Linked DNA regions of Sus scrofa. The main gene of each other region encodes a partner of the protein of the gene in region 2 in a complex. Links are inferred from orthologs where the notes say so. Each region holds a gene or a part of one and is shown on either strand. Other genes may lie near its edges.

What was found.
Region 1: the proteins of ITGAM (region 2) and PTN are in contact, whole or in part, in an NMR structure (PDB 8VOH), measured with the Homo sapiens proteins. The link is inferred for Sus scrofa from reciprocal best matches to the Homo sapiens genes ITGAM and PTN. Residues at the interface, in NP_000623.2 of Homo sapiens: Pro273, Asp276, Arg277, Gly279, Val280, Ile281, Arg282, Tyr283, Lys306, Pro307, Arg309, Asp310, His311, Ala334, Ile335, Glu336, Gly337, Thr338, Gln339; in NP_001308315.1 of Homo sapiens: Val56, Pro57, Thr58, Ser59, Asp61, Cys62, Gly63, Leu64, Thr66, Glu68, Thr79, Lys81, Thr82, Gln83, Arg84.

Annotation. Positions count from the first base shown.
Region 1 is NC_010460.4:12,287,728-12,293,656, reverse strand, and holds part of PTN (pleiotrophin precursor), read right to left. Parts: intron 5,812-5,929; 5' UTR 5,811-5,811; coding exon 5,696-5,810; intron 4,787-5,695; coding exon 4,613-4,786; intron 2,414-4,612; coding exon 2,252-2,413; intron 1-2,251.
Region 2 is NC_010445.4:17,253,959-17,260,656, forward strand, and holds the start of ITGAM (integrin alpha-M), read right to left. Parts: upstream 3,573-6,698; 5' UTR 3,523-3,572; coding exon 3,156-3,522; intron 2,300-3,155; exon of another isoform or gene 570-2,299; coding exon 464-569; exon of another isoform or gene 405-463; intron 1-404.

The DNA.
Region 1 (5,929 bases), on a different chromosome or scaffold from region 2:
ATCCTAGAAATGGCATCAATGCCTCTTCTAGCCCAGAAGGAGAGAGGACTAGGAGTAAAGATGCAGTCCAACACATCGTGACATTCCTGCATACTCCCCAGCTCCTGGCAGATCACTTACTAAATACCAAAACAAATCCCTTTCAGCTTCTCTTCTCATATTTAGAGGTAGAATTCAGAAGGTTAAAGACATTTCCCAGACTCCCTTGTGGCAGGATTTTATATGTGACCTAGTTTCCACTCTGCAGGCACCCTTAAATGAGTCTTAGAGGTAGAAGTGAACAAGCAGAAAATAAGGTCAAATTTGGGGAGACTGGCTATTTTGGCAAGAAAGGAGGTAGGAGTGTCTGGGTACAGAGATGAAGTTTCCAGTGTCCAGTTCTTAGCCTTATAGTGTGCTGAGCAGTGAGTAATTTCAGCAAGAGTATCTCTGCCATATCAGTCACATATGGTGTGATTAGACACATCTCTTGGATCTGTTGCCTTCTTGCAGTATTGCTGGATCCACGTCAAATACTCTGGCCCCTCTGGAGATTCTGTAAGCTATATGATATTCTTCAATCAACCCCTTTCTGCCTCACTAGCTAGAATAGATCTTGCTGCAGCTAAAAAACTCTGACAGATACAGGATTTTCTTAATTAAGAATTTTAATTAATGCTCTCAATCTCTTTTCCTAAGAAATTAAAATCTCAAGCGCCCAACATGATTGCTCACTAATTTATCTCTGCCACATTCTGGCAATGATTAAGCAAACTCTAGTTACAATCTTTCAGTCAATCAGTGACCTTCCCCAGAGCAATCTATCCCCATCCCAAAGAAAACTACATTCCAATTGTGCGTCTTTCAATTCTTGTATCTACCTAAGAATATCAATAGTCTCCCTTCTTCTGAGCATATAATTTAGAAGTGGATGACAAACAGCTCTCTTCAGATTAAGTGGGATTCCAACAAAAGAGAGACTTTGGATAGGATCTCCAATCTGGTACCGGGCATCGCTGAAATTGTGAACAAGGGCTAGAGTACAGAGTTTGTACAATATTGACATAGCAATAGGAAGGACCCTTTCTTTACCTCAAAAGATAATGCTGTTAAACTGAAGTGTAATAAATTTAAAGACAATTTTTTAATCAAAGCAACTGGAAAACTTAATTTCCCCAAATTTAGATTGCAATTCTAGATATTAAGCACTTTCCCTATGCAAGTCTGTTAATCTTTTAGCCTCATTAATAATCTAATCACAATAATTTTCCCACAAGGGGGATGTCCTCCCACCTTTCCTCAATTTAGTGCTGAGTCGTCACAGCCTTACCAACATCTTCACACTCCATTCTAAAATGTAAAGGGGATGCTTTCAGACTTCCTTCAGTGTTTATGTGTCCTAATCTCCTAGTCCTATATGCCAGTCATAGGGGATCAGGGTCCACACACATGACTTCATTTAATTCCAGGTACCTCTTTCAAGGCCCTCTCTCCAGGTACAGTCTCTGTGGTACTGAAAGTTAGGGCATGAACATCTGAATTTGGAGGATGTAACTCGGCTCACACAACCATGACCTAAGAGTGTAATACCTCCTTGTCTTCCCTCAGCTGGGATTTTGTTTGTGTGAAAACACAGCCATGACGTTTGGTGTAGTTTATTTTCTCCAGCATGAGAGCAGAGTCTAATTTTCTGGGTATGAATAGAAAGATAGCTCTACATAATTTTGAAATTCCAAGACAAATGAACTTGGTACGTTAATCTAACTAAACAAATATGAAGACTTTGAAAGGAGGAATAGACATACAGACCCTATCAAGTGATGTGGTAGACAAGGAAAGAGATAAAATAACTGATTTCCTGAAAACTGTAGATGTTGATAATCTAAGAAAGACTCGATTTTGAATTTTCAGCCTTGTGAACTGCCTAAGTTTGTTCGTATTTGTCAGGATGTAGTCCTGATTTAGGACTTGGATATATTGTCAACATACAGCTGTCTTAATTGGCCTATTTTGCTAAGTTGTTTATTTGTGCTAGAAGACTGCTCTAGTTCCCCAGTCTGGGCAGAGCACTTCAAGTTGAACTCATCAATTGCCTGCTGTAAAGTACTTGTGTAATGCTCAGTGTATTTTTTTTTTCAATCCCTTTCCTTAAAGAAATTCACCCAAGATTTCCTTCTGGAAAATTTGAGTTTGCACATCTGAAGGTCTTGCCTGAGTCCATCAATCCAGCCACATTAAACATGTAGTGTCATGGTGCAAAGGCAGAGCCTACCTTGAGGTTTGGGCTTAGTCACTTTGCCACAGGGCTTGGAGATGGTGACTGTCTTCTGGCAGTCGGCGTTGTGGAGAGCTCGCTTCAGGCTTCCGGTTCTGGTCTTCAAGGCCGTGTTCAGGTCACATTCGCCCCAGGCCTGGAACTGGTATTTGCACTCCGCTAGAGGCAGGAAGGCAGGACCAAACAGAAATCTCTGAATTCCTCTTGGAGTGCCAAAAATTAGACACACTTCTGTTTTCAACTTTTTATAGTGAGGTAAGTGTAGGTTCACATGCAGTTGTAAGAAAGGATACTGAGCATCCCCATATACCCTGCACCCAGATTCCCTCAGTGGTTATAACCTGTGTGACTACAGTCGAAAGGCACAACCAGAAAATTGAGTGGACACATCCCATAGAAGTTCCTTAGGTCTCCCCAGTTTCACATACACTCAGTGTGTATATGTGTGCGAACATTTAGTTCTGTGTGCAGATAAATATGAACACCCAACCATTAATATTCACACAAGTTCTAACCCAAGGGCCCCGTGGGTTATCCTCTTACATCATAGCTTAGCTACCTTCTTCCTTTCCCACCTCCTCTGCCCTTGGCAATTATCTGTTCTCCATGTCTATAATTTTGTTATTTAAGGAGTGTTACTTAAATGGAATCATATAGTTTGTAAGCTTTTGAGACTGGCTCTTTGCCCTCAGTAAAATCTCCTGGACGTCCATCCAAGTTGTGTGTATCAGTAGCCTATTCCTTTTATTGCTCAGTAGTACTCTGTGGTACAGATGTACCCCAGCTGATTAGCCATTCACTAGTGGAAGGACATCTGGGTTCTTTCCAGATTTTGGCTATGACAAGTAAAGCTGCAATATACATTGCTGTATAGATTTTTATAGGAACATAAGTTTCCATTTCTCTAGAGTGAGACCACTGCATTGTATGGTAAATACAAGTTGCGTTTTGTGAAAAACTACCATTCTCTCTTCCAATGTGGCTTCTGTATGTACCTTCCCATCACCAATGCATGCATGATCTAGTTTCTCTGCATCCTCACTAGCATCTGATGTGATTTCTAATGTTAGCCATTCTAATAGGTAATACAGAATGATAGCTCATTGGTGTTCATTTTAATTTCTCTAATAGGAAAAAGATATTGAACACTTTTTCAAATGTTTATTTGCCATGTATTTATCCCCTTCAGTAAAATGTTTGTTCCTATCTTTTGCCCACTTTCTAACTGGATTGTTGGTTTTGAGAGTTCTTATATATTCTAGACACAAGACCTTGAAGACACAGTTTTTAAGACATTTTGCATATCATTCTTAGGGTATCCATATACAATTCAAGATTAAATGTATCTGAATTTTACCATCCTTTTACAGAATTTACCTCTACTCATAAAAAGTTATAACCCCCAAAGTTATAAAGAATGAAAAAGATATAGTGTGTCTATTCATTATTCTTCTCCATTGGTCACTAGGTCAAAGCACCTTCCTGTAGACCAGGGAGAATATCTGGGGCATCGTGTCCCACTAGGCATGTGAAAAAATCAAGGAACTGGGTGTTCAGTGGTGGGTTTAAAGTTGAAGGAGTTGAAAGATTCTTCTCAAGTAGGTAGATGAAGTCAGCATGAAACTGGCAGTATTTGGTGAGAGAAAAATCTATGAAAAGGGGCTCACAGCAACCCTGCTGGGTTTGGAAAGTGAATCTACAAACCCATGTGGAAAGTGGAGAGAGAGCAAAAGAGAGAGAGGGCCTGCAAGTGACAGAAAGAGATCGGGAGAAGGAGAATAAATAAGAAAAAAGGAAGGGGAGACAGAAGGAATCTAGAAATAGAAGAAGGAAAGAGAACACTGTTAAGAGGGATCAAGGGTTCATTTCTATCCCTATTGGTAAAGCCTGTGGCCTCAGTCAGGGACTATTGCACCCCCCACTCACCCCAGGAAATGTGCAGCACTATCTGGAGGAATTTTCTTTATATGTGTGTGTGTGTGTGTGTGTGTGTAATGATTTTTATTTTTTTCCATTATAACTGGATTACACTGGAGATATTTTCAGTTGCTGCAGTTGGTAAGGTGGAGGGCATGCTCCCAGAAACTCATGGGTAAAAGCCAGAGAGTCAGCTAAATACCCTACAGTGCACAGAATAACCCTCCATCCAGGACAAAAAAATTATCTGAGCCCTCCCATGCTAGTAGTACTGAAAATGAGGTACCTGGGGGTAGGCAAAGTGCCCGGTTAGGCTGCATCTGAGAAAATAAATGTGTTAAAATAAATAGAATCGACCTCAAAAAGGTATTTGGTAGAAGAATGCAAGAATTATCTCAGGGTAGAAGATGACATCAACAGGACTGCAGGGGTGGGACTTACCTCCAAACTGCTTTTTCCAGTTGCACGGGATCTTACATCTCTGGGTCTTCATGGTTTGTTTACACTCAGCTCCAGTCCGGGTGCCCTCCCGGGTGCCCAGCCCACAGTCCCCACTGGTGGGCACACACACACTCCACTGCCATTCTCCACAGTCAGACTTCTTCACCTTTTTTTCTGGAAGGGAGGAAAGAAAAATAATCAACATCCAGAAAAATCTTTAACTCCTAGATATAACTAAGTCCATTCCTGATCTCCTTAATTGCATGGTCTGGGCATTTTACCTTTGTCTTCAGTGTTCAGTAAGAGTAGGAACTTGATAGGTGTTAGCTGAATGGTTCAATCAACCAATGACCAAGAGAAGGGAGAAAGAAAACTGTGGAGCTAGAACTGTTATTCATTTTAATTCTTATTATGTATCAAGGACTGTGCTAAGTGATTCACTGATCTCTCCTTTTAGAAGCAAACATTTCTGTAAAAAGAGAAGATGGTCAAAGTCAGTTAAACCTGAAAAATGAGAAACTAGTCTATGAGAAGTAAGAGTTGTCAGGTTAGCCAGTTCGACGCATGTCTCAACGTTCCTTTCTCGTACAGGAGGAATAGCGTAAGGCGAGTGTGGTGGACGCAGCTGTAAACAGACTCCCAGCTGCACAGCCCCTTAGGACAAGGGGAGTGACATAGAAAAGGTGCTTCATCCTCTCTGAGCTTCGCCTTCCTCCTTTTTCAATATGAGATAAAACAAAAATTCCTTTTAGGACTCTTTGGGAGGAAGGTATGAGCATAAGCAAAACACCTGATCGCTGCTGGTCGGTTTTCCAAACGCAGTAGCTGCTGCTGTGGTCTTTACTGTGATCACTGTCATGCGGCTCAAGTTAATGATCCTCATCCCTTTTTTAGGACTTACAGTTGAGGGGGATGGAAGTGAGAGGGGATGTCTCTTAGGTTCCTCTGAATACTTGGAGAGAGGAAAGGTAGGAAGAAAATGACGGAGGGAGGGGGAGGGAAGGAGAAAGGACAAAATCAGGTAGTTGGATTAAGGGGACATTACTTAAGGAAGAGTTTCGTGCTCATAACCGTATTGCTTACCTGGTTTCTCTTTCTTTCCTGCTTCAGCGGTATCCACAACTGCCAAAAGGAAAATGAATGCCAAGAAGGCAGCTGCAAATTTTCGACGCTGCTGCAGGAACTGTGGGGTCTGCATTCTGGGAATAAACAGAGAAACAGAAGACAGGGGTGTCAACCCAGGTCAGAGAGGAAGGCGCACTGAACTCCCTGATGAAGGCCTCCATTTTCCATTTCTGGAATACTCGATTTTAAGAA
Region 2 (6,698 bases):
AGGGACCCTGCCAGGGAGGGAACTGGGGGAAAGGAGTGAGGAGGAGACTTTCCATCACTTTTTTTTTTTGTCTTTTTTGCCACTTCTTGGCCAATCCTGCGGCATATGGAGGTTCCCAGGTTAGGGGGTCAAATTGGAGCTGCAGCCGCCGACCTACACCACAGCCACAGGAACTCGGGATCCGAGCCGCATCTGCGGCCCACACCACAGGTCAGGGCAACGCTGGATCCTTAACCCACTGAGCAAGGCCAGGGATCGAACCTGCCACCCCATGGTTCCTAGTCGGATTCATTAACCACTGCGCCATGACAGTGGTTACACTCTTTTGTATCTTTAGAGCTTAGAAGCCTGCTGAGTCAACAAACAAATCAAGGAGATTGTTTTGTTTTGTTTTTTGTTTTCAGACATGTTAAGTCTTGTACGGAAAGCCTGCGGGACAGGAAGTGCCCCCTGAGGCCCTTACCTCGACCCCTCCAGCTGGACCACGCTCTGCCCGAAGCCATTTGCATTTTCCTGGAAGACGACTGCATTTTCCGTGTCCAGGTTGAACCCATGACTTAAGGCCAAGGCTGGAAGGAGAACAAGGGGGTGGGAGTCAGGAAGAGATACGGAGACAAGTTAAGAAAGCCCTCCTGCCCCGAGCATCTTCCTGCCAGGATTCACCCTAACCCAGCACGGAGATGGGGGCCTCCAGGGCCAGCCCTTACAGCCTGTAGCAGAGGGCACCACACGTCTGTCTGTCTGTCTGTCTGTCTGTCTGTCTGTCTTCCTTTCTTTCTTTCATTTTGCCACACCATATGAGAGTGCTGGGGCCAGGGATCAAATCCGAGCCACAGCTCCAACCTAGCCTACGGCAACACCAGATCCTTAACCCACTTCACCTCCGAGGGAACTCCCACACGTGTTGTATAAATGACCAGAGAGTAAATATTTCGGGCCTTGTGAACCAAGAGAATCTCTTGCATGGATACTTAATATAAAAAAGAGGAAATATTTTCCCATAAATTTTTCCATTAAGGAAACTCAAAATATAACATTCAAGTACCATTGTAAAATAAATTAACTGATGAGACCAACGAAATTCTTTGGGATAGATAACATTTCACGCCACCAGGATAAAATTAGTGTCCCTGTCATGAATAGATTCTAAATGTTCACCTGGGACCTATGGCTCCAAGTTGTACAAAAACACATGCCACTGTGTCCTGGCCTTATGCCCACAGTCTACAGCTTGCCAACTCCTGGCCTAAGCACCACCAGCGTGGGATGTAATGGAAAAAAATTTCCCGTACTGAGGTATAGGGAAGTCATTCTGGCTTATACATGATTTAACTTGAATTTTACACTAAAACAGCCTGTTTGTAGCCTGTCAAACATACATTGTGCATTTGCTTTAATCATGAAAGAAAAAGGTTCATTGTCCAAGAGAACAGTGTGCCCATGTTAAAAACAAAGATGAAATGCTTCCCTTCCTGGGACTCAAATGCTGGTATTCCTTCAATGATAAAACTCCCTGGGAGTTCCCACTGTGGTGCAACAGGATTGGTGGCATCTTGGGAGCGCTGGGACAACGGTTCAATCCCCGGCCCGGCACAGAGGCTTAATTTAAGGATCCAGCGTAGCCGCAGCTGCAGCACAGGTTACAACTCTGGCTCAGATCTGATCCCTGGCCCAGAAACTCCATATGCCACAGGGTGGCCAAAAATGACAAAAAAATAAAGAAAGAAAGAAAGAAAAAAAAAAAAAAAAAGACTCCCTTCCCCAGGGCCAAGGCCATACTGACTCACTTATGTACCTGTGGATCTGTTTCGTGTTTTCTTTTTTCTTTTTTGAAATCCTGAAGAAATGTCTCCCTGACTTGTTTAATGTTCTTTGTTCTGACATGATATAAAACTGTGCTGAAGGGGAGTTCCCTTCCTGGTGCAGCAGAAATGACTCCGACTAGAATCCATCAGGATGTGGGTTCAATCCTTGGCCTCGCTCAGTGGGTTAAGGACCCAGTGTTGCCATGAGATGTGGTGTAGGTCGCAGATATGACTCGGATCTGCCATTTCTGTGGCTGTGGTGTACCCCAGCAGCTGTAGCTCTGATCTGACCCCTAGCCTGCGAACTTCCAAGTGCCGTGGGTGCGGCCCTAAAAAACAAAACAAAACAAAACAAAACAAACAAAAACAAAACTGCTGAAGATCTTGCTTCTCTGGAACAGTTCCTCAGAGGTCTCTGAGGGGCTGCCTCTTAGGCTATGTCCTCAGTTTGGCTCAAAAAAAAAAAAAAAAACTTCTTTTCTATTCCTATTATAGTTTGTTTGTTTGTTTGGGTATTTTCTGCTTTTTAGGGCCACACCTGTAGCATATGGAAATTCCCAGGCTAGGGGTCCAATCAGAGCTACAGCTTCTGGCCTACACCACAGCCACAGCAATGCCAGATCTGAGCGGTATCTGCGACCTACACGACAACTCATGGCAATGCCAGATATTTAACCCACTAAGCAAGGCCAAGGATTGAACCCACGTCCTCGTGAATATTAGTCCGGTTCTTTACCACTGAGCCACAACAGGAACTCCTTCTATTCCTATTATAGACTGCTTATTGATTATTTCCATCAACAGGTGCATTTAACCCCTCCAACCTTCACCTTGGGTTCCCAGCCCACTAATGGGCCCATCAAGTTCCTAAAGACTCAGTTAGACAGGTTCCTTCCTATGCAAGCAACGTTCAAGCATTTCTTTCCCTTCTTCGGCTCATACGCCACAAAACACAGATTAAAAAAGGAATCAAACTTGAATCATTTTGGTCAATCAGTCATTCAACAAACACTTACACGTGGGTGCTCAGAAAATAGGAGGCAAATAGGAGGTGGTGAGGCGGAACCCAAGAAGCAACACTCCAAGACCTGCTGTGCCCCCTTAAACATGTCATTTCACCACTTGGGGCCTCAGTTTTCTCATCTGTGAGTGAAGGGACACCTTGTATAGTCTATGAATTGTCATTCAACCAAGCTTCTCTGGTCATCCCATAACTTTCCCCCAATCCCTTTTGTCTCTTCCCAGTCCAGCTCCTAAATATTCTGGACCCTTTCTCTCCATTCACAAATTCAGAAATTTCCCTCCTCCTCACCCTGAGCTCCCCCCATCCCCGCCCCTCTCCTGGCGCACCTGTCAGCAGAAGGATTCTGTGAGTCATGGCTGGAGGGAGCAGGAACCGTGAGGCTGCAGGCGCCCACTGAGCCACTTCAAGGAAGCCACCAAACGCAGGAAGGACCCTAAAAAGAGAAGTAGGAGGCACAAAGTCTGTCAGATATTCAGAGGAAGAGGGCGGAGGCTCAGGGAGCCCACAGCCCTGCTGGACCGTCCTCCCCCGGGGCTGCACACAGCCTGGCCTCCCTCCCTGCCTCCCTGGCTTCCCCACCCCAACCATCAAGGTCGCCATCCCAAAGGTGTCTTTGTTTGCCCACCTGCTTCTAGAGTCGGCCAAAACCCCAGGAAAGGCAAGGACTAGACCTAGGACCTGCCTCCAGAACATGTGTTCTATTTTTATTTTTATTTTTATTTTTATTTTGGTCTTTCTGTCTTTTTAGGGCCACACCCACAGCAGGTGGAAGTTCCCAAGCTAGGGGTCTAATCGGAGCTACAGCTGCCGGCCTGCGCCATAGCCACAGCCACGTGGGATCCGAGCCGCGTCTGCAACCTACACCACAGCTCTCGGCAACGCCAGACCCTCAACCCATGGAGCGAGGCCAGGGAAGGAATGTGTGTCCTCATGGATGCTAGTTGGGACCATTAACCACTGAGCCACGACGGGAACTCCATGGAACACGTGTTCTAAACATGAATACAGTCCAGGCAGGAGAGAGGGGTCCTACCCTCTGTCTCCCTGAAAAGCCCACTTTGCAAAACATCCCTCCCTCCTGCCCAGGGAAACAGAAGACCCTCTCAGCCAGGGCTGTCCTCCTGTGTGGCCATCGATAAGGACAACTCCGGGAGTTCCCATTGTGGCTTACAGTATAACAAAGCTGACAAGTATCCATGAGGATGTGGGTTCCATCTTTGGCCTCCATCAGTGGGTTACAGATCCAGCGTTGCCCTGAGCTGTGGTGTAGGCTGGCAGCTGTGGATCCAATCTGACCCCTAGCCTGGGAACCTCCATATGCCCTTAAGGGTGCAGCCCTTAAAAAATAAATAAATAAATAAATAAAATAAGGACAACTCAGATGCAGAGAATATGCCTTCTGAATATTATTTTGTTTAAAACAAACAAAAAAGCCTCTGGCTGAGTCATTTTGCTGTACAGTAGAAATTGGCACAACATTGTAAAAATCAGCTATATTTTAATTAAGATGTGATATATATACACAATGGAATACTACTCAGCCATAAAAAAGAACAACATAATCCCATTTGCAGCAACATGGACGGAACTAGAGACTCTCATATTGAGTGAGGTAAGTCAGAAAGAAAAAGACAAATACCATATGATATCACTTATATCTGGAATTTAATATATGGCACAAATGAACCTTTCCACAGAAAAGAAAATCATGGACTTGGAGAACAGACTTGTGGTTGCCAAGGGGGCAGGACAGGGAGTGGGATGGATGGGGAACTTGGGGTTCATAGATGCAGACTACTGCCTTTGGAATGGATGAGCAATGAGATCCTGCTGTGTAGCACAGGGAACTATGTCTGGTCACTTAGGATGGAGCCCGATAATGTGAGGAAAAAAGAATGTATACGTGTATGTGTGACTGGGTCACCATGCTGTACAGTAGAAAAGTGACAGAATACTGTAAACCAGCTATAATGGAAAAAAATTTAAATCATTATAAAAAATTTAAAAATAAAAAAATAAAAATAAAAAGCCTCAAACCCTTTTGCCCAGAAATTTTTCACTTCTAAGAATGTATCCTACGACATAGCTGAGGAGAATGGTCAAAGGTGTCTGTACAAGCTCGCTCACCACAGTGTGGTTTTTAACTGTGAAAAGTAACAGCAGCCTAAATACCCAACCACAGATACAGCCTTATGTTCTGTACTATCTGCTTCCTTCATGGACTTCTCCTGTGGCCTAAAGCATAACTTCAGGCCATAGTGCCTAGTAACTTCCAAATCACTTTTCAAAGACCCAGGAGCATTTTTTTTTTTTTTCAAAATATTTTCTTTTTTTTTTTTTTTTGAATGTCTAAATCTTTTACTTATTTTTATTTTTCCATTATAGTTGATTTACAGTGTTGTTCTGTTCTTTTGTTTTTGGGGGTTTTTGTTTGTTTGTTTTTTGTCTTTTGTCTCTTGAGGGCCACACCTGCGGCATATGGAGTTCCCAGGCTAGGAGCTGCAGCCACCGGCCTACGCCAGAGTCACAGCAACTCGGGATCCAAGCCATGTCTGCAACCTACACCACAGCTCACGGCAATGCCGGATCCTTAACCCACTGAACAAGGTCAGGGACCGAACCCGCAACCTCATGGTTCCTAGTCGGATTCGTTTCCACTGGGCCGTGATGGGAACTCCTGATTTACCGTATTCTGTCAATTCCTACTGTACAGAAAAGTGACCCAGTCATATGTATATACATACACTCTTTTTCTCACATTATCCTACAGGAGCATATTTTTAAGAAATACATGGAACACCCAAATATAGGACACTTTGTATGTGTCTGCTAACGGGATCCCCAAGCCAACCATTTCTCATTCTCTACTTTTTCTTGTCTCTAGTACCACTTTCTTAATAACCAGAGCAAAGAAATGTGTGCTCTGAAAAAATTTCATAAAAACTCTGTACATATTTTTAATTATCTGTTTAAAAATATGTGCATACAGAAAAACCAAATGTGAATAGTGGTTTCCTCCAGACAGCACGTCAATGAGTCTGTCCTGCTCTATTGCTTGCATTGCAAACCATTCCAAACCTTAATGACTTAAAACAGCAGCTTCTTTCTAATTGATTTTATTGACATATAGTTGATTTACAATGCTGTATTAGTTTCTGGTGTACAGCAAAGTGATTCGGTTATACATATACATAAACAGTTTGCATCTGCTAACCCCAAACTCCCAGCCCATCCCCTCCCTCTTGGCAACCACAATTCTAAAACAGCAACTTCTTATTGTTTTGTGGTCCTATGGATTGTCTGACCTTAGCAGTTCTCAGTAGGGAGTCTCAGGTGGCTGCAGTCAGACTGTGAGTGGGGCTGGAGGCCTTGAAGGCTCAGCTGGGTGGAAAATAGATCACTCCCACCGCTGGAAGCTGGTGCCAGCTACAGGCTAGGCGTTCCGTTGGTGCTGTCAGCTGGAGGAACTCCATGTGTCCTCTCTTTGTGGCTTGGGCTACTCCCAGCATAGTGGTTAGGTTTCAAGAGCATGTATTCCAAGAGAAAAGAATTGAAAGTTTCCAATCGCTTAAGGTTTTGATCGGAAACTGTCTCGGAGCCACTTCCATCATAATCTACTGGTCAAGCAGTCACAGAGCTCGGCCACATTCAAAGAGAGGGGACATATTAAAAAACAAACAGTTATATTTGGCATGGATGGGCCATGGGCCTACTGTACAGGGAACTGTGTGTGACTGGGTCACTTTGCTGTACGATAGAAACTGAAGAAACATTATAAATCAACTCTAACAAAAAATTAAAATTCTTCTGGATATAAAAAAAAAACAATGCTGTATTATATATTCGAAAGTTGCTGACAAAATAGTCCT